4 linked regions of the Caenorhabditis elegans genome follow. The gene in region 3 interacts genetically with the main gene of each other region. Each region holds a gene or a part of one and is shown on either strand. Other genes may lie near its edges.

Region 1 (6,838 bases), 5.0 Mb from region 3:
AAAAAAAAGAGCCAAATTTTGCTAAAATCTAAAATTTCGCACACTTTTCTTTGTCACAGCTGCTGGATTTTTGTTTTTCTGAAATTATCACCATTTAATCCTTGTTTTGGTAATTTATCTCGCCGGAAATTCGTTGATGGAGACAACTTCTGGGCCGCTAGGCATCCAATTTTGATCATTTTTGGATGCCTATCGGCCCAAAAGTTGTCTTAATCAACGAATTTCCGCGAGATAAATTACTAAAATAAGGATTAAAGGGTGATAATTTCAGAAAAACAGAAATTCAGCAGCTGTGACAAAGAAAAGTGTGCGAAATTTTAGATTTTAGCAAAGTTTGGCTCTTTTTTTTTCGAAAATTTGACCGGCCATAAAAATGTTTGGAAATTTTTTGTGAAGTCTCATTATGAAATTCGGTGGTTTTGGACCAGTTTTAGTCTATTTAAGCAAAATACCCACAAACTGTACTCCCCCTTTAATGTACACGCCTTGAAACATATTGGTGCATTTTCAGACAATTTTCGAGTCAAGCCAAAATTGTTGCAGAAATTTTCCAAATGCTCGAGCAAAAAGCTTCAAGAAATCTCAAAAATGGAACAATCTGCGTAGAAACTTTACTATTTGCATGATCTTTATGTTTCGTCGGATACACGAAAATTATGAAAATATGGTTTTTGACAAAAAACAACAAAGCCAAAAATGCAGAAAAAAACGACATAATGCCGTCATAATGTCGGCATTATGCCGTTATGCCGGTCATTTTATTTTTCGGCATAACGGCATTTTCGGCATATGCCGTGAATTTTCAAATCGGCATAACGGCATATGCCGTGCTCCAAAAACCGGCATTATGCCGGCATCGGCATATGCCGAATGCCGAATGCCGCACAGGTATGGCGAGAATGATGTGAATATAGGAGACCCGAAGAACTCGGGGGATGTCCAATTGGGGGGATTACCAACTCGGGGGATTGGCCCCGCCCACAGAACCGTGGCTTGCAATACGCCCATTTCTGCAACTGCCGCACGGTTTTAAAATTATTTTTTCTTGTTATTTCTCGTTCTATTGAGAAAAATACAGTTTTAAAACCGTGCGGCAGTTGCAGAAATGGGCGTATTGCATGCCACGGTTCTGTGGGCGGGGCCAATCCCCCGAGTTGGTAATCCCCCCAATTGGACATCCCCCGAGTTCTTCGGGTCTCCTTATTTACATAATCAAATTTGCAGCAATTTTTTGGGATTTTGCAAGCGATTTTCTTTGCATTTCCCGTGATTTCGAACCTTCTTGGCATATTTTTTAAAAGGAATGTTCATAGTTTGCGGAAAACGGAAATTCAAATTTCTCGCGGTCTGAGGCGTCCATAGTGCAGTTTCTTCGCCTTTTTTCTATCAAAATTCAAAAGTAGGTGGGGCCTGCAGTTTTTCGCTTTTTCATTGCTCAGCTTGAAATTTTGCAGCCTCTGATTCGTTGGAAACGCCCAATTTTTTGAAACTGACCAATTGCGAAGCGAAAAACTCCCTCGTTTTCCCCTCTCACTGTAGACGCCTCGGACCGCGGGAAATTCCCGTTTTCCGCAGCCTATGGACGCACAATTATAAATTTTTTTCTTAAGAATCTCCATTAATCACCGTTTTGATAGTTTTCCGCTGTTTTCCTTTAAAAATGCATATATTTCTCAAAAACTAAACAATTCGCGCTTCCGTCATTTTGGAGTATCGTTGTAAGGCGCGACTTTCGAATGTGTCCTCGATCAGCTTGAATAACGTCTCATTTTCTGTTTTTCTTTTATTAATACTTGTCAAAAAGTCGATTCATATTCTAATTTCATTTTCAGAGTTGCTTACTTCTCGCGCTTGGTGCCAAATTATGCTGCCGAGCTCTGGTGAGTTTAAATAATCGAAAATCAGGTCGAAAAATGCATCGAATTCCAGGTGACTCCAGCAAAGAGAACTGTGCTCCACAGGACGGTATCGTTGAGAAAGAAGGACCAAATAAACCTTTTAAAAAGAAGAACGTTAAACAACGGAATGCTACTCCACAAGGCGCGGGTTCCGAAACCTCATCCAATGCAGAAGACAAGCAAGAAGAAGCACCGATTCTAACGAATGCTCCCAAAGACATTATTTCGATGCAAATACAGGAAACGAAGGCATTTCTTAGTGAATATGAGGAGTTCGTTGACACAGATTATCCAAAAAGTATTTTCATTAATTAATTCCAGGCAGTCCATTAAATTTTCAATTTTCCAGCTACCTTCACCCACGTGCCACGAAAGTTTCTGAGTGTTTCGCCATTCACCCCGATTGAAGCCGACGCGGAAGGAGAGTTTCTTCCAGATGCTGACTCAAAATGCGTGATTTGCCACGAAGAGAAGGATAAAACCGGAAAATCTGATTTGATCACATGTCATGGATACATCAATGGAGAAATGGACGACGGCAAGCGTCTCTTGGGAAATATACCAATGTTTCCTTGTCGTAGTAAATTTCACGCGAGTTGTATGATCGTAAGCTATTCGATTATTTTTCTTCATCAAATATCGTGTAAACTTTTAGAATTACAACAGTGGCGGCTTTCACTTTCAATATGCAGCCCGACTCGAATGCCAAGCAAGACTTCTGTGCCCTCTTCATTGCTGCAATAGTTGCAATTTGGACCATCACAAGCAATCGGCTTATGTTGGAGATATTGCAGAATGTGCTCTCTGTCTCCGCGCTTTCCATTTGACGTCGTGTTATCCATCAGGTGGCCGAGATTTGAATGTTTCGATAACAATTGGTGGGAAAGTGGAGAAGTTCGAAATGATAATTTGTCCAGCACACTATCTACCTGGTGCTGATGTTCAATTCTACAATAAACATAAAAAAAGAAAAAACGCCGTCACTGTTGTTCCGAAAGCGGATGTTACAATGAAATCCCATATCAAAGCGTGTTGCGTAATTGGATGTGAGAAATCTTCGAATTCAAAAACAATCATGTGCAAGACTTGTTGCCGATCGTTTCATTCTGGATGTCGAGAAGTGGAAACGCTGAATGGAAAACCGATACCAGACGATCAATGCGAATCGTGTGTTTGTGGAGATCCGATTCCGCAAAATACATTGATTCTCGCGAAGTGGACGGACAATTCGTGCGTTTATAATATCAGAATTATCAAATTCATGTATTTTCTATTCAGATTCTGGCTAGCATTAACACTCGATTGGTACAAGTACCCTACTGGAAATCGTGGTAATATCAACTTTGAACGTCTTGGATATACTGTTGTCCAGTGGCTGATACCCCAAGAAAATGATAAAGAGAAACAACCTCTCATGTCAATTGTGCCGGTCTCGGATATCGCCCGTCTTACCAAGAATTACTTTTCGTTGGCAAAGAATTCGACGCTTAGAAACTTGTGGGAAGAGAAATATGAGGAACAAGCAGATACTGCGTTGAAGAGATGCCCGTACGTGTGTAAAACTGTATTTGGAAGACTGAGAGTGAGTATTCTACTGATTCTTCAGGAAATATCTAATTCGGACTATGGTTTTGTATTTTTCAACGGTTTGGAAAAAGGCTTTTATTCAGCTAAAATTGCGGAACCGACGAAAGTTAATATCTCAACCAACGGAACATTACTTTTAAAAAATTAAAAAAACAAAAAAGTTCTGAAATTTGTCAGATCTGCAATATTTGAGATTTTAGCTGAAAAAATGTCATTTTTTTCCAAAATTTTGAACCGTCTAACTTCTTTTTGGAGGAAAATGAGAATGTCTCATTACGAAATTTGGTAGTTTTAGACCATTTTGGGACAAAAGTGCAAACAGTGCTGCAGAAAAATTCAGCTAAAAATTGCCGAAAAACTTAACAATTATTTTCTTACTTTTAACCGATTCAGATTTATTTATAGCAATTTCTTCATAATTCCAGACATCTGTGTACTACAAATGCGAACCAAAACTGGAAGAGTATCACAACAACGAAGTTTGCAATTGTGAAGGAGCTGACCGCTGTACAAAGCTGTCGTGTCAATATCTCGCCGATGATTATGAATGTCCCCCGAGTTGTTCGAAAAAGGGCGTTTGTCATAATCGTCAAGTTTCCATGGGAATAGTTAGCGAGAAAATCAAACTGGCAGCCACTTTGTGTAAAGGATACGGTGTCTTTGCGAAAGGTCAAATCGAAAAAGACGAATACATATGCGAGTACGTTGGAGAAATAATCGATAAAGCTGAAAAGAAGAGGCGCTTGGATTCGGTTTCAATTTCGCGAGATTTCCAGGTAAGGAAAAAGTTTTTTTGCGATAAAAACACGAATTTTTACTTTTTCTTTTAACCGAATTTTAGAACAAAACGTTCTGAAATTTTCTCAAAAAAAAGTTACGGCGATTCAAAGTTTTGGGAAAATGCCTATTTCCAGCTAAAATTTTATATTTTGCCAATTGTCATTTTCAGAAAAAAATACGAAATTTGGTAGATTTGGGCTATTTAGGTCTAAGAAGCAAAATATCAGAGTTAAGTTATCAACGTATAACTTTCCAAATACTCTTTTTTTTCAAGGCGAACCATTATATGATGGAATTGCACAAAGGATTAACCGTGGACGCTGCCAGATACGGTAACATCTCCAGATACATCAATCATTCTTGCGATCCCAACGCTGCATCTTTCGTTACAAAAGTGTTCGTTAAGAAAACCAAAGAAGGCAGTTTATATGATACTCGCAGTTATATTCGGGCAATTCGCACTATTGACGACGGCGACGAGATCACGTTCAGTTACAATATGAACAATGAGGAGAACTTACCAGACTGTGAATGTGGAGCTGAAAACTGTATGGGTACAATGGGAAAAGCGAAACGCGAGAAACCGGAAGTGGCTGATAGTTCCGAGAAAGCTGCTAAAAAGAACAAATCGTCCAAGAAGAAATCTGTAAAAAATCAGAATAGAAAGAGCCAGGAGGTACCAACTTTTTTTCTAAGTTTCAACATTTTGATTTTATTTCTTATTTTCAGGCCGGAAAGAACGGAACCGCATCTAAGAAATCAGAAATTTCTCCTTCGAAACCATCCACAAGCTCCGCGTCGAGCACTTCCTTCGTCCAACAAGCATCATGGCCAATTTCCCAGAATAAGAAAAATTTAAAGGTATTTTTTGGAGATTAAATCGATCAATTGCTGCCAGCAATGATGTCGGTTTTTCGATTTTTCACTAAAATCGAAAATGTTCGTTTTCACGAAAAATATCTTTCAAAAATTTTGTAATTGTTCTTCTTTTTAGAGAGAAATTTAAAAAAATGTTTTCTTATTTTATTCATCAACATAAACATAATTTGATTTTAAAAAAAAAGAACTTTATGGTTAATTTTTAAAACATTTTTTTCGAGTTTTTTCGGAAATAGAAAATTTTAATTATTCGATTTTTGATGGCACCCTTGGTTGCTAGAGTTAACTTGGTCTAAATCGAATTTTCAATTCAGGTACATAGCCATTAAACATAATTTGTTTTTCAGAAGAATTCCAATCAACCTGTAGCCGACACCGGATCAACATTGAGTACATCTACAGAGTTGAATTTCCACGAAAAACCGCAAGAACTCTTGAGCCCTGTTTCATCGCGATCGCGCGCAGCTTCATCTTCAACACCACGGGCACAAAAATCAAAGGTACGATAATCATATTAGTATTAATATCGATTATATTCGATTATATTCACAGAGCCGTCGAGATGATGTGGAAAGTGAAGCGCCACCTGTGAAACGAGCTACGCCATCATTGCAAACAATTCAAGAAACCGGAAAAGCGATAGAGTTTCCTGCAACCAAGTCGGCTATCACAAAAGCACGAGCGTTGTCGACACAATCAGTTCCATCACCTCATACTGTGGAGGTCAAAGTTAGAGCAATATCTACTCGTGGACGAGTTCAAAAAGAGACAAAACGGTTTGAACCGATTTGAAAAGTGAAATAATATGCTGTCTCGCCCAATTGAACTCTTTCCAATAGTCTTCCAAGTACTAAATTATGATTTTACTTCAATTAGTTTCAATCAACAGTGCCCTCATTCTTTTTAATCGTACTATGAGTTTTTCCTGGACTGTCGACACAATTTTTGGAAACGCTGAAATTCATTTGACCAACGTTCAAAGAATAACGAAGACTTTCCTATTCATCTTTTTTGAAAATTATTTTCACACTAAACTAGGGGTTTTATTATTGCTTTAACCATTGCTTTCATTCACTTGTCATTTTTTTTTCCCTATGTGTTCTTTCGTTCTTGTTACTGCGTCCCATCATATCGATAAATACGACTTTTTTTTCTCATCTGTAATAAATACCTTTGCAAATTACAAAACAGAGTTAAGCGCTGCTTTATGACGATAAAGAGAAACTGGAGAAGATTAAGAAGAACACAATGGAACGACTTGTTTTGAAAAAAGACATTGGAGTCGATGAATCACTGCTAAAGATTTTGATTCGGAAGTAAAAAAATGCACATTATTGAGAAACCACGTGTCATTTAATTTCCCTATGCACAATAACAAAGGATCTTCGGATAGACTTCTTGAAAGAAGACTGAAACCATTTGAGCGGAAGCGATAATTCATTCATTAATTATTTTATGTTCGCTTGTTATACGACAAAATTCTAAAAATTTCAGTCTTGCACCATTTGCCAATTCAATAATGCACGCGTTCTTTGAAATATGGCACTGTATATGGGCTTTACTTGGATGCTCATTCAATTTAATGCTCATTTACATGGCTATCTATAAATCACCGAAGACAATTCGTTCGTATGCAACTTTGATTATCAATTTTGCTGTTACCGACTTTTTCGAGTGTGCTTTGGATTTGTTCA
Region 2 (7,775 bases), on a different chromosome or scaffold from region 3:
ACAATTAATAAATTGTTTAATTTTGGATGTTTGTAGAGGTTTTTCGTGTTTTCTCATGATTTTACGGGAATCCTTTTGATTTTTTTGGTTAAAAACAAATTATTGGTGGTCTATGAATGCATTTTTCACTGTAAAATAGTGGAAACCGCCGTTATCCTCTTGAGAAAGTTCTAAAGTTCCATAAATTGTTCAGTTTCGCGGTTTTTCATTGAATAATTTGTAATTATTGTTTTTCGAACGTACAATTATCAAAAGAAAATCACGAAAAATCGCCAAATATTCCAAAATTCGATCGAATGGAGGTTTATTCTTCATTCCCTTCAAAATAGATTTATAATAATCTCTTGTTCGAACACTCCCTCTTCCCGCAGCGAAAGTGTAATAAAATGTCCAATAATCTAGCTAGATCTAGTTCAATAACTCATCAATTATATTGCCCTTTGATGTAGTTTTATAATGTCATAAAGTGCACACTTCTAAGAGTGGGCAGCTAAAAAATGCACTTGTTGCTCTTTTTTTCGCACCCTTCATACTTTTTTGGATCGATTTCTTTCATTTGATATTCATAATGACCTAATGTTTCCGCTGTACACTGTATCTGCACTCACGTGATGGGTCTCGCCACGGTAATAATATTACAAAATGATTTTGCCTATGCGTCTTTGAGTTTACTGTAGAAAATTAGTAATACATTTTTCAGCTCTACTTCTTTCTTCGCAGATTATTTTTCTGTGAGAACAAGAATACACAATTTATCCATTTCCATTCAATGAAAATGTATGACAGCGTGATTTCGATAAATCAACAATTGAATCCTTTTTCTTTAAACTTATAACTTCAATTGACATATTTTTAATTTCATTGTAAAACTTGGAATATAATTTCGTTGGTTTCAGTCTCTCATCCGTTCCAAATTATAATTCCAAACTCTCGAACGCGGAGACATGCGCACGCTCCTCTTCCTTTCCCTCGAGTAGGCGTCGCTCCTTCTCTTTTATTGATTTGTCGTGCTCTCCGCTCTTGTTTGAACGCGACCAATATGACTCATTTTTTTAATATTTAAAGTTTTTAAGCACATGCATAGTGCATTGCTCGCTTTCTACCTCTACGCGTTGTTCATGGCTCTAAAAACAAAGAGCGTACATTTTTTGAAATTCTATTTAAATAAATAAAATTATTATTGAGAATTCATCCGAAATATCTGTGAAATATCAAGCCAAACATATTTTTTATAATCCTAAAGTTAATAAAATTAAAATAAAGTATAGTCATTTTGTAAATTTGCTCAAAATGACAGAAAATGGACCGTAATAACCAAATATAGATGTTAAACATGCATAGAACTTTTCTAAATTTTTTTTTTAATTTTGCAAAAAGGTTCTTACGGTACATTTTTAATCAACCATTAAGTTTTACAAATCTTCATAGGTATAATTTTTTAATGAACAAATTGTTTGACTGGCAATAACCACGCATTCCTTCATTCGATTCCTTATCGAACCAGCCGTCTGTCTGAATATGATGTGAATTTCTTTTTTATTCTGCGTCTCCTCAATTGACATACTCTCTACTCAGTTTCCCAGAACGAAGTCTCTCTCATCTGACATTATATCTTTTTTGCGCTGTTCGTTTCACATTTTTCTTTCTCTCTCTCTCTCTGATTGGCGATTTCGAGATAAATCGATAATCTCGATCTTTGCTAAACTATTTTAAAACACAAAAAATCATTGCAGGGTATGACTCCGGCGACGGCAGAGGTGAAAGTTGGAGGGAGAAAACGGAAGAATGGTTAGTTGGAGAATAGGACATTTACTGGAATTTACAAAAATCAAATTCTTAAAATCAATTTTTAATTAATTTTGAAACATAAATCCCAATCGCGCCGAGACCCGCGTATTCTAACACAACGCTCACCTTTAAAAATAGTTAATTTTTTATTCGAGAAACTCGGCCTGAAACTTTTTATTTAACTTCTTGTTTAAATTGTAATTTAAACTATTATAATTAAAGTTTTTCCTGTTTTCTTAATTTTTCCACCAGTGAAAATTATTTTCGGCAATTCTACAAAATTACCTATTGTGCCATTTTGTTCCATCATATTTTATTACAAAACAGTGTCAAAAAATAGAAAATTACTTGAATTATCTAAAAATAACATTTATTTAAGCTGAAAAAATTTGAAAAATTGTTCAAAAATGGCTTGAAATTCGATGTTTCGTTTAATCAGCAATTGGCAACTCTCAGGCCATTTTTGAACACTTTCCCAAAATTTTATGCTAAAATAAATGAAATAAATGTTATTTTCAGATCAATAAAGTAATTGTCTATAGTTTGAAATTAATTTTTTTTCTGTCAAATTATAGTAATTTTTAGCATTTTTGAATTAATACTTTAAGCTTATTTTTGCAGATGAGCCGGTTTTTATCAAGACAAAACAATCGAGGTCAGCTCGTCGAGAAGAAGAAAAAGAAAATCTTTTGAACAAATCTCTTCCGTCAACTCCAACTTCATCAGAGGCCGGAAGTTCTCGGGAATCTTCAAATCCAGTCACAAGCTCCAGTAGACGAAAGAATCCACCTACCAAATTAGAAAATATTCAAAAAACGTTGCCGACTTGCAGTGACGGACGTTAGTTTTAAAAATCATTAATTAAAATCTCAATTTTTCTATTAATTCACATTTTTTCAGTTGAAATTCGCAATTATGTGAAAAAATATGGATTGCCGGAAGATAACAAGTTTCTCGTTCGTAATGTCTTCGACAAACAATTATTATTTGGAAAGAAATATGTGTGTAGAAGGCGTGTGATTAAAAGCATCGATGAATTTTTCCCGCGACTAAAGACCGATGCGGTTTGTTTGAATTTTTGATGGATTCATTTGCAAAATAAATTTTTCTTTCAGCACAGAGAAAATGGTTTATATAATTTCTGTACTCTACAATTCATGAAAATATCCTCCTGGGGAAGTTCGATGGATGAGAAGATTTGTTAGTTTATTTTTGAAAATTTTGAAAAATTTGAAACGAAATCTCGATAAAAACACTTAATTCGAAAAAGACCAACAGAAAATCACTTTGAACTAAAAATATCTATTCAATATTGATTGAAACCATATTTCACAAGAAATAAAAGTCTTTTTGAAATTTGGTTTTAAAAAAAATTATTTTTTTAATTAAAAAAGTCAAAAAAAATTGAAAAGTTCTGATTTGCATTATAAAACAAAAAATGAATTAAACTCAATAAATATATAGCCAGAAAACGCGAAAATGTCGGAATTCGCTTTTTTTTTCAGTTTTTGCAATTTCCTAAAATCACACAAAATTTATAAAAATTATTTTTTTCCTATAGTTTAAAGCAAATTTAATGATTTTGAAATGTTTGAGGTTTTTTTTCAAAAAGTAAGAACAATATTTCCAAAAAAATGAAATTATTTTCTAATTGTAAATTAAGATTCAAAAATACACACACACATAGTTTTTTTCGGTTTTAAAATTATTTTCTCATTAATTCATTAAAAAAAAGAACATTTTCAGATGTTACTTCTGCTGCAATTGTTCAAAGCTACGTGATAATTGTCGACGATAATGATTCAGTCACCTGCATTGAAAATGGAATCTCAGTTATTCCAATGGCGAATAGAACGTTACCATCTATCTCCTATAACAGTTCAAATGTAAAAAATATCACTTTGACGGGCCCTGAACTGAAAAAGGCAAAAAACGTATATCTCGCAGTGATTGTGAAACGAAAAACACCAAAACTTGGAGAAAATCGAGTTGGGACAAGTGAGTGAAATCATTTCTTTTTTTTAAATAAAAAGTTTCTTTTGTAGGAGGAAAATCAACTCGAGCATCATTCGAAACGGCTGCTTCCTCAGAAAACTTTCAGCAACTTGTTCGTTTTGGGTGCACTTTGATGTATGATAAGGATGCTGAAATTAACTGCCTAAATGACGGAGTTCAACGTATTATCTTACTGTAAGTCGCTTTAAAATTATAAATGCAAAAATTTAAAAACTTAAAAATTCAAAAAAAATTAAAATACTTTAAAAGTTTTTTTTTCCAAAATTTATCCGAAGGTGAATCTATAAAATTAAACTGGCCTGCTAATTTTTTAAAAAGGGGGTTTTCTGAAGATTTTGAGCGAAAACTGTTGTCAAAATAAATAAAAAACTGAAAAACATTTTTTTTCGAGAAACACGCGCTCAAATTGACGGGTATACGGTAGAAAATATTTTTTCAAAAAAAATTGTATAATGAAAAATATTGCTCTTGATTTTTCCAGTGATCGAGAAGAAAAGCCAGCGTATTTGAAAATTTTCGGGAAGGCCGATGAACCGGAACTCGAGAATGCTTGGATGAATAATGTTAAGCATTTGGAGTTTATAAGCGATACAAATTATAACAAAGAGGTAACGATGAAGAGTTAATAAACTTTTATAAATAATTGATTTTTTTCTACAGGATTCTCATCTCGCTCGTCTAATCTTCTCTTCAAATACTCATAATTATTTCGATAGACCGGACATTTCAAAATTCTCTCCATGGCAGCCGCGATCCAGAAGGACGACACTAAAATCTGGGTGAGAAATTCGATTTTTTCTCTTTTTTTAATTTTGTTTTTATCTGGTTTTTGCACGACCGTAATCCCGCACGCTTATTGTGTTTTCCATCATTTTCAGAATCTCCGTCGAGCCAGGAACGAGTTGCGATGAGGATTGTGGATCGCAATATGAAGAGTTCGTTTTTGATCCCTACCACCTGATTTTTTGTTTGAATATCTAATTTTTAAATCACTAAGTTTGCTGGATTTTTTCCCTTACAGAATTTCTAATTTCGGGTGCATTTCTTCTTTTTTCTTAGTTGGCTGTAATTGATACCTTCCAAATAGCTTGTCGTGATTTTTGAAAACCGTGAAGCTGCATTTCAGAATTTTTGAGTTAAAACTGGGGGGTTTTGTCCAAAATTACAGAAGGCAATCTGCATACACCGGATAGAACTTCAAAAAAAATCATCTAAATTTTATAGTTAATCACTCACTACATTGGATATTCGCGGAACTTCATGTTTCTATCCAACCATAGATCATCTAACTGTTCTTCAAAATTGTTTAGAAAATATAATTACAGTACAATCACTCTCAAGCAGTTACTCCTTGGAACGAAAAAGCTATGCGGAAGACGTAAGAGACATTTGACCCGACTCACTTCAAGATGGCCGTGTTTTTCAGTCGATCCGACGAAGGTAATTCTTAAAAAACTATAATTTCAAAGCTTAAGTGCAATTATTTCAGATCAATTCATATTTCAATGAAACTGGTGTCACTTTGCTGGAAAATTCGTGTTCCTACCGTCCTGGAACTCAACGAAGCATTCCAATAAAACCTACCCGAGTGATCAGAGTTAGAGAAGAAACTCCAGTTTCCGTTCCAATTGAGGTTATTACGATTGAAGATGATTCAGATGATTCACCATGTTTTTCTGCGAGAAATCGAGCACCAGGTGGAACACGGAAATATGGATTAGATTTTATACAATCTTCGGGTCATATGCCATATATTCGTTATGTTTATATGAACAGGTAATTTGATTTAATGCAATCCAGTAAAAAAATATATGATTTGCAGAGCAAATGACTTAGTGCCCCAGCTGAATGGCGAAGAAAATGGAAAAATCGAAGGTCTTATGGAAGCATATCCGATGAATAATGCTCACATGTATTCAGATATTGAGTTCCTGAGAAAAGAAAAAGTAAGAATTGTTTTTAAAAAAAAGACATAAAAGTTGTAATAATTTTCGCTTTTTTCACTAAAATCGAAAATGGAATTTTTTGTTTCGATTTACTGATTTTTGCAAAAATAAAACAAAACTTTAAGATTTTTCTTTTTTCCGATATTTCGAAAAAATTGCATAATTTGTTTTCTTTTTAGAAGCAATTTGTATGTATTTCTGAAAAAGCGAACAAAATTGTTTCCTGAAGGCGAAATCTATTTTTCCCTCAAAAACCCAAAAAAAAAAAAAAAAGTGAGAAAGGAAAAATTGAGAACCTTTCATTATATTTTTTGAATTTTTTGAATTGACTCCAAAAACAGGAAAAAAAAAACAAAAAATCCCAGCCTTGATTACGATATTAAAAATTTTCTATTGTGACATGTTGCTCCAACAATTTGTATTTAAAATTAATGTCAAAATATAGAAAAACACTCGAATTATCTGGAAATAACATTTATTCTGGCTGAAAATTTTGAAAAAGTACTCAAAAAATGTCCTGGAAGTTGCTGATTGCCAATTATCGAATTATTGAATTTCAGGTAATTTTGAACACTTTCTCGAATGTTTTAGTTGAAAAAAAGTTATTTTCAGATAATTCTAGTGATTCCTGCACTGAACACTAAAAAAAACTTGTCGCCGCAAACAAAAAAAATTAAAGCAAAATTACAAATTTCAGTTGAATCTTCCGAAGAATGCTCAAAAATATGGCGAAATGACAATTCTTGACTATCCACTAACGAAGACGGAAACGGACGAATATAATAAAAAGATGTCTGTGATGAATGTCAAAGATTTTGCGGTTAAACCCAGAAAACCTATTCCAACAGTCGGAAATACCACTTTAAGTTTGGATTTGGAAGGATGTCCTATATCGACATTTTCAGAAATATTCTTCCCAAGTGGAAAAACTGAACTATTCAATATTCTATGCAGACAGTAAGTGTTATAATATTAAGTCATATATTAAAACCCAATTTTTGAAGTTTCTACTCTGAAGCTGGACAACGCCCTGGATGCTTCTCAGCACAATGGAAATCTAGAGTTTTGGTGAGTTTATTGAACATTCAGGACTAGATTGGCAAACGTACGGAATTGCTTAGTACAGTATTTTTGAATCAAAACCTTTAAACTTCTTTTCAACGAAAATGAAAATTATTTTCAGAGTCTTTGATTCTACAAAAAATGAATTAGCGTACTAAAATAAGCATCTCAACACTTTTGCCAAGATTTGCCTTAACTTAGAACGCATTTTTGAATTTTTCATAAATAATTTTCAGACTGGCTTCATCAACAAATACCATCAGTACATTTTCGACATGAAATTGAATTCTTTATTCGAGAAACAAATAAATCTCATCGCTATGGTCAGCCCTGACTGGAAATTAGAAGATTTTGAATTGCCCATGGTTCGATATAAGCAATTGAAAAAAGAATGGAAAAATCGCCAACGAGATATACCATCTTCTAATTAGATTATCCCCTTTTTTCCTTGTATCTTTTTCTTTTTGGAAATCCTGTGTTTAATCTCTTTTCCATTTATCAATCAACTATACCAAATCGTGGTGGGTGGCAATTCTACTAAATGACATTAAAAATTAGTCTGAAAACATAGAAAATAATTTGATTCTTCTGCAAATAACATTTGTTTCAGTTGAAACACTTGAAAAAATGATTAAAAATTACCTGGAAGTTGGAAATTGTCGAATTTTGCTATTCGGCAATTGGAAACTTTCAGACTATTTTTGTGCAATTTTCAAATCTTTCAGCTGAAATAAATGTTATTTTCATATTTTTAAATAAATTAATTTTCTATTTTGAGACTAATTTTTAATGAACAATATTGGCCAATTTATGGAATTGCCAAAAGTAATTTCCACCCACCGCTGATCCCAAAAATACTACAATTTTTAGCACCTTTTGACCCAAAGAACGTCGTACTTCAATGATCTTCCAGATTACACGAGTCATCACTAAGTTTTTCTTCATTTCTTTTTCTTTCATTTA
Region 3 (3,531 bases):
TGTGAAACTAGTTGATTTTCCTCACACACAACACAAACACGTCAGTCAGTTACAGTACTCATCTCAATTTTTGTGAGATGGAAAGTATAAAGTAATAAACCTTAAACGAAATATTCAGTTGTTTTCAAATATAAAAATGAGCGCTTTAAATATTGGAAACATTAATTTTTATTGTTTTTTCACAAGATTTTTGCACGCCTTCTTAAAGGCACACGAATTTATTCAAATGGGTCTCGGTGCGCAAAAGTTTATGGAAGTCTTTTTTGAATACTTGAGGCTGCCTCTTCGTTTTTTTTCTTGCATTTCTCAATTAGTTTATTTCATTTTAAGAAAATTTTCACAGAAAAATGAAGGGTATATTCATTGAGAAATGAGAGCCTCAAAAATAAAAACTACCATAAACTTTTCTTGCGCCGAGACCCATCTGAATAAATCCGTGCGTCTTTAAAAAAGCTCGAGAATCTTGAGAAATGATGGTACCGTAAGCTGGTTCTATGAACTTTTTAATACCGCAGAGGCACCGTAAAACTTGAAACAATTGTATGCTGATTACGAGAAATTTCATTTTATGAGTCCACATAACGAGGGCTATGCAATTGAGAACGAAACATTGGTAAAATTCAAGATAACAATAATATACAGACTAGATACAAATGTGGGAATGTGGGGGTGAGTTTTGAAAGCCTGTGAATACAACATTTTGGGGTCGGACTCGAGAAGAAAAAGAACGACAAAAATGGGGAAAATTATTGATGATGTCCTTGGGACTGCACCAGGTTATTGGACTTGATTATATAATCCATAAGTAAAAAATAGAAAGTACATGTTAGTCAAGATCAGAAATTTCGACGAGAGAAACTAGTGATGATGGGAGGAGAGCTGCTGAATCCGCTGGAATTGGCTTTCGAAATATTGTGCCAATTGAGCCGTAGAATTGTATCCAGATACGTCCAAACGGGTGGCACGAGCAAACGCACGAACGAGATCTGATTGACGGATTGGTAGACTCTGATTGAGATCCATGCTTCGATCTGTCGACCCCTGAGGCACGAAGAGTGAATGATTGTGTGCGGCAGCATTCCTTGCTGGTGATTTGGATGAAGTATTAGCGTGAGCTCCACTTGCTAGCTTCGCGGCATTCCCATCGACAATTTTGTGGATGAACTGGCATCTGGTTCCGTATTTGCAGTTTCCAGTCATCGAGAACTTGTCGCAAAGAACCGTCTTGTACTTGGGATGATTTCTCCCACGAGGCTGAAAATTCCAGTCATAAAATAAGAAATTTGTAGGATCAACGATTACTTACGTTCATTGGAAGCCGAAGCTCATGGACGCCGTGAGCAAATCTGCACTGATCACCGTATGAGCATGCCTGACTGCGTTTGTAAGCATCACACAGAGCCGTCTTGAATGCATCTTCCTTTCTCCTTTGACGCATCATTTCTTCACGAAGGTCATCGGGAACTGTGCAAGGATCACGATTGGCCAACGATTGTTCAGAAGTTGGCTGTGAAGCCGAATTCTGCGTCTCCTTATCTTGTTTCATGAACGGTTGGAAGTCTTGAGAAAATACATTCTCTTGATCATATGCTTCGGGGGATGCTGACTGATGTGAAAGCGATCGAGTAAAATCGCTGTGGGAGTCAAGGATTTCCTTTTTGAACACCATGATTGCTTCACCGCTCAGGAAATCGTTGTCAGCCATTTTGAATCTAGAAAAATAAATTTACAAACTGTGATGATGATGGAAAAAGAAGAGAATATAAATCAAGAAAACTTGGGAGCACCGGCAGAAAAGAAAATAAAAAGGAAAAAAATCCTTGAAATGGAACATCTGAATGAAATGAACAAAGAGTGAGCGAAAAAATTTACTTATCAAAAATTCGCGGAAACTAAAAAGTAAAAATTAAAAAATACCGCTCGAAATCATGATCAAATTTTGAGAAATTTTGAAAAAAAAAACTTGAATTTTCGCAATAGAGCGTGTTCGCATCGCCGTGTTGGATTTCATGGTAGCACAGAAACTAGATGGCTTGGTTTATGATACTCAGTCTGAAAACCTATATTGGCTGCTATCTCGAAAACTAACCCCAAATTTGAATTTGCGATGCATATGAAAAATGGCCGCAAGAAAATTCTCTATCTTTTCTATTGAAAATTTTTTTGATTGAAAATTTCCTAACCGGTCAAATTTGGGTTTGTTCGGTAGAGCGCATTTGCACTCATCTAGCTGCTGTACCACCGTGATTTTCCATTTCTACATTTTCCACGTTCTGTGTTTGTCCTCATTTTAAAAGTTAATTTTCTTTGATTCAGTTTCAAAATGGTATTTGGGGAGAATCAGGATCTCATTCGCACTCATTTTCAAAAAGAAGCCGACAAAGTTCGAGCAATGAAAACCAATTGGGGACTTTTCACGAGGTATATTTACTATCTATCTTCCATATTACGTAGTAATTTTTCAGAACAAGAATGATTGCTCAAAGTGATTACGACTTTATCGTGACTTATCAACAAGCAGAAAACGAGGCAGAACGGAGCACAGTACTCTCGGTTTTCAAGGAAAAGGCTGTGTACGCTTTTGTTCATCTGATGTCTCAGGTGAAATCATATTTCATAAGCCTATTTCGAAATTATTAGTTTCTTTTTTTCAGATTTCGAAAGATGATTACGTCAGGTACACTCTAACGCTGATCGATGATATGCTCCGCGAAGACGTCACAAGAACAATTATTTTTGAAGACGTTGCAGTTCTTCTGAAAAGATCTCCCTTTTCTTTTTTCATGGGTCTTCTCCATCGTCAAGATCAATACATTGTACATATTACATTCTCGATTCTCACAAAAATGGCTGTTTTTGGAAATATAAAGTTGGATACGCTTGAGATACATTAATTAATTCTAACTATTTCAGATTATCTGGAGACGAACTTGACTATTGCATGGGATCTTTGAAAGAGGCGATGAATAGAGGAACAAACAACGACTACATTGTTACAGCAGTTAGATGCATGCAAACTTTATTCAGATTCGATCCATATCGAGTTTCATTTGTCAACATCAATGGCTACGACTCACTGACTCATGCTCTATATTCGACTCGAAAATGCGGGTTTCAAATTCAGTACCAAATAATTTTCTGCATGTGGCTTCTCACTTTCAACGGACATGCTGCAGAAGTGGCTTTGTCTGGGAATCTTATTCAAACGATATCTGGAATTCTGGGCAATTGTCAAAAGGAAAAAGTAATCAGAATTGTAGTATCCACACTGCGGAACCTTATCACTTCAAATCAGGATGTTTACATGAAAAAGCAAGCTGCTCTTCAAATGATTCAAAATCGTATTCCGACTAAACTGGATCATCTGGAGAATCGAAAATTTACTGATGTGGACCTTGTGGTAATTTATTAGTGAAAGACTTCATCGAACTATAAGTTTGCAGGAAGATATGGTATATCTCCAGACTGAACTCAAAAAAGTTGTCCAAGTGCTGACATCTTTCGATGAATACGAAAATGAACTCAGACAGG
Region 4 (4,362 bases), on a different chromosome or scaffold from region 3:
ACACAAGAATGACTATTTTAATCAAATGTTGGCGATAATCCAAGTAATTAATATAAGGACACAACCCAATTTTCTAAAATTTATTACTAGTACACTTCTTGGCGACAAAGGAGTAAAATCTGTCAAGTGGCACCTTTAGGCAAACAATATTGCGAAAAGCCTTTATACTTCTTTTTGACTACTTTCGCAATCGGTCACGCGTCTGTACAGATTTGATAGGAACTTTGAAGAAAATTGGGCATTTTTCGTTAACAAAAAGCAATAGGAAGAAGAACAGTCAAAAAACAATTTTAACACGGAAATCAGTTGTTCTACGATATTGTAAAAGTTAATAGAAAAAAAAATGATAGTAACAAAATATTTATGAATTTTCGTCTAGATTCTAACAACGAATATATAAATTGAAATGAGAACTTAATTTCCTTTAAAAATTAATTCGATTCACTGTTGGTGGAGTTTAAGGCAGATTTTTTTTTCGAAAAATTGACTGTTTTTTTTAACTCACAGAATCATTGTCAACCCGATTTTCGGTTCTCTCTTTTTCAATACTATGATCATATGATCTATTTAGTTATTATCAATAAATACAGACATAAATAGTTTTTAAAAAAATTATTTTTTAGTTTTTTTTTTCAAGAAATTTCGTAACTTTTATTTTCTCCACAGATAACAAAGCAAACGAAGTTTTTTGCTACGCCTCAATCAATTGTCGACAGTAAATACAAGACGTCTTCTCTGTTTCAGACTCACAAGGTGGCGGTGGTGGTTGCTTCCGGAATCTGTTGTCTCCGTCGTCCAGTTTATTTTGAAACTCTGCCATCATTTCTTTGACGGTCCTAGACGCCGGTGGAGTATCATCAGAATTTTTGCGATGGTTCATGTCATATTTCATACAGGCGATCTGAAAATAACTATAGCTCGTTCGAGATAACATTTTGGCTAAAAAATTGAAGAAAAAACGATAACACTAAAATATTATGAAATTAAGAATTAGTAATGAACGGGAACAGTCACAGCATGAGAAAAAGGCAACCGCTAGAAGAACAGGTTGAAGCAACAAAAAATCACACAAGACGCAGAGAATCAGGCATTGGAGACGCAGGGATATGGATGAGTCAGCAGCCGACGAAGACAAATTCGAAATAGCAAAAATGAAAGAAGTCTACGGAATTCACAAAGTGGATCTTTTGATATAAGGACAATTTTACTAAATAATAAATATGAATGAATACCCCCAAGTTGATCGCTCTGAAATCTGAAAAAGACCACAAAAACATTTTTTTTAACTGACAATAGCTCACGTAGCAATATAGGATCATACAAAAAAAATATACAAAATTATTAGTTTCGCTCCTTGCGAAAAAAGCCGAGTACAAAATCTACTTAATCCCGTTCGAATCCACTCCGAAATTGGAAGTGGTACTTCACGACAATACAAAATTTAAGCTGGCAACTGTCTTTTCTATCATATTCCCAATCGAAATCACAAATACCTCCCGGAACTTTCGAACAGAATCCAAAATGAGAACAAAAAATTGTAATAAAAAAATAACACTTTAAAGGTGCATGAGGTTATGCGCTCGTTGGGTCTCGCCGCGCTTTTCACCACTAATGCAATTTGAACGAGAAATGCGCGCGAGCGGCCATATTTTAGTTTTTCTGTTGTTTTTATTGTCATTTTTTTCCTTTTTCACTGCAAATTTGATAGTTAATCGACTTTTTTATGTTTTTACTGTGAAGTTTTTATTTTGTTATATATTGTTTCTTGCCTTTTTCCCAAAAACCTGAATGGAGCACACGAAAAAGTTCAAATCATTAAATCTTCACGGGTTTGATCGAAGTACAGAGGATTACGGAAAACGACCTTTTGTACTAACTGCCAAGCTACTTGAAGATCAGAAGAAAGCTATTTACGGATGTGCATTCAATCAATACGCAGGAATAGATGAGGAACAAGCGGTTGCAACTGTCGGAGGAAGCTTTGTAAGCGTTATTTAGCAGGAAACTGACAATGAGGTATAAATATTTGTTTTTCAGCTTCACATGTATTCTGTTCCCATCGACATAAATAACATTGAGCTGCAGTGGTCTTGTAATTTTCCTACCGATAAATCATCAAAGGTCGAACGAGAGGAGTCGCTCTTCACTGTTACCTGGTGTTACGACACATATGAAGCTGAAAACGACCGAAATCCCTTTAAAGTTGTAACGGGTGGAACTTTGGGTCACATTTACGTTATCGACTACGTCTCGAGGAAGCTGTCGAATGTAAATAATCAAAAATTACTGAAATAATTTGGAGTTTTAGCGTCTTCGGAGTGTTGGATGGGAAATCAATGACATTCGTACGTGTCCTGCCAACTCAAATCTGATTGTCTGTGCTTCATCAGATCAATCTATCCGGATTCATCATATTCGAAACGAAGCATGTCTGATTGTTATTGGGGGTCTCGAGTGTCATGCTGGAACAATTCTTTCTGTGGTTGGTTTATTAAATTTACTTACGTTTCGAATTTCTCATTTTAGGATTGGTCAACCGACGGAGACTTCATTTTATCGTGTGGATTCGATCATCAACTCATGGAGTGGGATTTATCTGTGAAACAAGTAAAGGAACATTTGGAACGAGCGTGCAAAGCTCTTCACCAAGATAAAATAAATGTGCTAACACAATCACAAGATATTCCGTATGTTTCGAAAGGAACAATGAGGTAAATCAATTATTCAGCTAACATTTTCTAGTTCCTTCTAGTATTTGATCAGTCCTTAACGCGAAAATTGTTGCTGTTGTTGTATATAAAAATATTTTTGAAACTTGAGTTTTGGATAAAAGACTGGTAAATAAAGAGACCAGGGCTATCAAATCATAATGTAATTCATTTTTGTATTTTTAGAAAGTCTGCAGTTTCTCGCAACATTCCCGACAAAGAAGAAGATCAATTGCTCGAACTTCACAGAGAGCTCATACCCCGACCGTACGTTGATTTTCGGCATCCATTACTTTTTTAAAGTTGTTTCAACGAATCTGGTTCTATCGTTTTCTTCTTTTTCAGGAGCTGCCTTCTTCCAATTTATACTCCATCCTCCGTATCAACTGATATGCATTCTGATTATGTGGATTGCATTCGATTTCTTATCGGTACTAACTACGCACTATCAAAAGGATGTGGCAATGAAAAGGCAATTCATTTTTGGAGATTTGGGCCACCTAAGGGAGAAGTTGAAAATCGCATTCATGGAAATGTTCTCCGTCCAAAGTCGTGTACAACGAAATTTCGTACAATGAATGTTCCGAGTGGTTCTGCATGGTTTATCAAATTCGCCGTTGATCCAAGAAGACGATGGCTGGTGTGCGGTGGAGCTGGTGGTTCTGTGATGTTTTTCGATTTGAGAAATAATGAAGAAACCAATCCGTAAGTAAAATATCAAGAAAAATAATTTCTGAGATGTTCGATATCTCTTAAAAATTATAGAAATATTTTTGCTGTGATTACCAGTATAAATTCCTGTTTTTTTTTTTACAGGACTCACACTTGTTCCGTTGGCTCACGTACAGTTCGGCAAGCTTCTTTCTCTACATGTGGCCGATTCCTAGTACTAGTAACTGACGAAGGATTTGTTTGTCGATTTGATCGTGTATCTGCGTCTGTCGACGCTAAGGACCTGGCAAAATTTTGAATATCATTCCTTCTCACCTTCAATTTTTTATATCTCGTTGTGATTTCATCTTCGATCATCTTCAGTGGATTTTACATTACAATTTTGCAGTTCCTAATGTCATCCCCAACCTCCTCTAAGGATTATTCTTCACCTAAACATAGCTTTATGTGTGAGTTTCGAAGAGATTATTTTCGTTTTCTGATTATCTAATTTTTCTAATTCAGTGACAGTCGACAGCAACTTACAAAGTGACAAAAAGAAGACGTTTTTGAATGTTCAGTGAGTTTTGAAAATTTTATTAGCTTTCATGTTATTACCTTTTTTATTTCAGATCATCTTCCTCTGCTGGGTCAACCAAGCACTGTCAAATTCCAATGTCAAAGGACGAGTATTTTGAAACACGCGGGAAACTCGACTCTGTTGATGTTATCGATCAATTCAGACAGCGTCAGCAATGAGCATTTATCGATTTGTCTGTACATGCAGTGTTCCTCACCATTCTCACTCTTGTCTCATTCCCATTCTTCTCTTTTTTTTCAATATTTTTTATTCTTTCCTTATTTTTGTCCGTTTCTATTTCCCGATGCTTGTTAATAAAATGAATTATTTCAGAGTCGCACCTTCTCACGCCAACCAACAAAATGACAACTGGAAACAATGATTTCTACTATTCAAACAAATACGAAGATGATGAGTTCGAGT

What was found.
Region 1: of pos-1 (region 3) and mes-4, a change in one rescues a mutant of the other (synthetic rescue), as found in Caenorhabditis elegans (one study listed by BioGRID).
Region 2: of pos-1 (region 3) and mes-3, a change in one rescues a mutant of the other (synthetic rescue), as found in Caenorhabditis elegans (one study listed by BioGRID).
Region 4: of pos-1 (region 3) and mes-6, a change in one rescues a mutant of the other (synthetic rescue), as found in Caenorhabditis elegans (one study listed by BioGRID).

What each region holds. Positions count from the first base shown.
Region 1 is NC_003283.11:13,432,540-13,439,377, reverse strand, and holds mes-4 (Histone-lysine N-methyltransferase mes-4), read left to right. Parts: upstream 1-1,832; 5' UTR 1,833-1,864; coding exon 1,865-1,880; intron 1,881-1,929; coding exon 1,930-2,196; intron 2,197-2,247; coding exon 2,248-2,504; intron 2,505-2,553; coding exon 2,554-3,128; intron 3,129-3,176; coding exon 3,177-3,480; intron 3,481-3,910; coding exon 3,911-4,261; intron 4,262-4,539; coding exon 4,540-4,941; intron 4,942-4,994; coding exon 4,995-5,126; intron 5,127-5,491; coding exon 5,492-5,644; intron 5,645-5,696; coding exon 5,697-5,936; 3' UTR 5,937-6,328; downstream 6,329-6,838. Other genes in the region: srd-17 (Serpentine Receptor, class D (Delta)), read left to right, coding at 6,664-6,838. UniProt on the Caenorhabditis elegans protein: Histone methyltransferase. Dimethylates 'Lys-36' of histone H3, a specific tag for epigenetic transcriptional activation. Plays a central role in early development and is responsible for all H3 'Lys-36' dimethylation until about the 40-cell stage.
Region 2 is NC_003279.8:4,995,108-5,002,882, forward strand, and holds the start of mes-3 (Polycomb protein mes-3), read left to right. Parts: upstream 1-1,731; 5' UTR 1,732-1,736; coding exon 1,737-1,788; intron 1,789-2,409; coding exon 2,410-2,628; intron 2,629-2,688; coding exon 2,689-2,852; intron 2,853-2,903; coding exon 2,904-2,988; intron 2,989-3,534; coding exon 3,535-3,786; intron 3,787-3,833; coding exon 3,834-3,978; intron 3,979-4,285; coding exon 4,286-4,412; intron 4,413-4,464; coding exon 4,465-4,583; intron 4,584-4,682; coding exon 4,683-4,739; intron 4,740-5,129; coding exon 5,130-5,244; intron 5,245-5,293; coding exon 5,294-5,580; intron 5,581-5,626; coding exon 5,627-5,750; intron 5,751-6,447; coding exon 6,448-6,707; intron 6,708-6,754; coding exon 6,755-6,818; intron 6,819-7,048; coding exon 7,049-7,243; 3' UTR 7,244-7,775. UniProt on the Caenorhabditis elegans protein: Component of a Polycomb group (PcG) complex. PcG proteins act by forming multiprotein complexes, which are required to maintain the transcriptionally repressive state of homeotic genes throughout development.
Region 3 is NC_003283.11:8,412,268-8,415,798, reverse strand, and holds pos-1 (RNA-binding protein pos-1), read right to left. Parts: upstream 1,715-3,531; 5' UTR 1,706-1,714; coding exon 1,307-1,705; intron 1,255-1,306; coding exon 859-1,254; 3' UTR 545-858; downstream 1-544. Other genes in the region: vha-18 (putative V-type proton ATPase subunit H 1), read left to right, coding at 2,324-2,421, 2,466-2,601, 2,655-2,869, 2,914-3,400, 3,444-3,531. UniProt on the Caenorhabditis elegans protein: RNA-binding protein that coordinates cell fate specification and differentiation during early embryogenesis.
Region 4 is NC_003282.8:8,509,649-8,514,010, forward strand, and holds mes-6 (Polycomb protein mes-6), read left to right. Parts: upstream 1-1,635; 5' UTR 1,636-1,788; coding exon 1,789-1,983; intron 1,984-2,037; coding exon 2,038-2,268; intron 2,269-2,308; coding exon 2,309-2,482; intron 2,483-2,526; coding exon 2,527-2,711; intron 2,712-2,894; coding exon 2,895-2,975; intron 2,976-3,053; coding exon 3,054-3,413; intron 3,414-3,524; coding exon 3,525-3,678; 3' UTR 3,679-3,774; downstream 3,775-4,362. Other genes in the region: FYVE, RhoGEF and PH domain-containing protein tag-77, read right to left, coding at 751-892; C09G4.4 (uncharacterized protein), read left to right, coding at 3,775-3,829, 3,885-3,939, 3,992-4,118; cks-1 (Cyclin-dependent kinases regulatory subunit), read left to right, coding at 4,302-4,362. UniProt on the Caenorhabditis elegans protein: Polycomb group (PcG) protein. PcG proteins act by forming multiprotein complexes, which are required to maintain the transcriptionally repressive state of homeotic genes throughout development.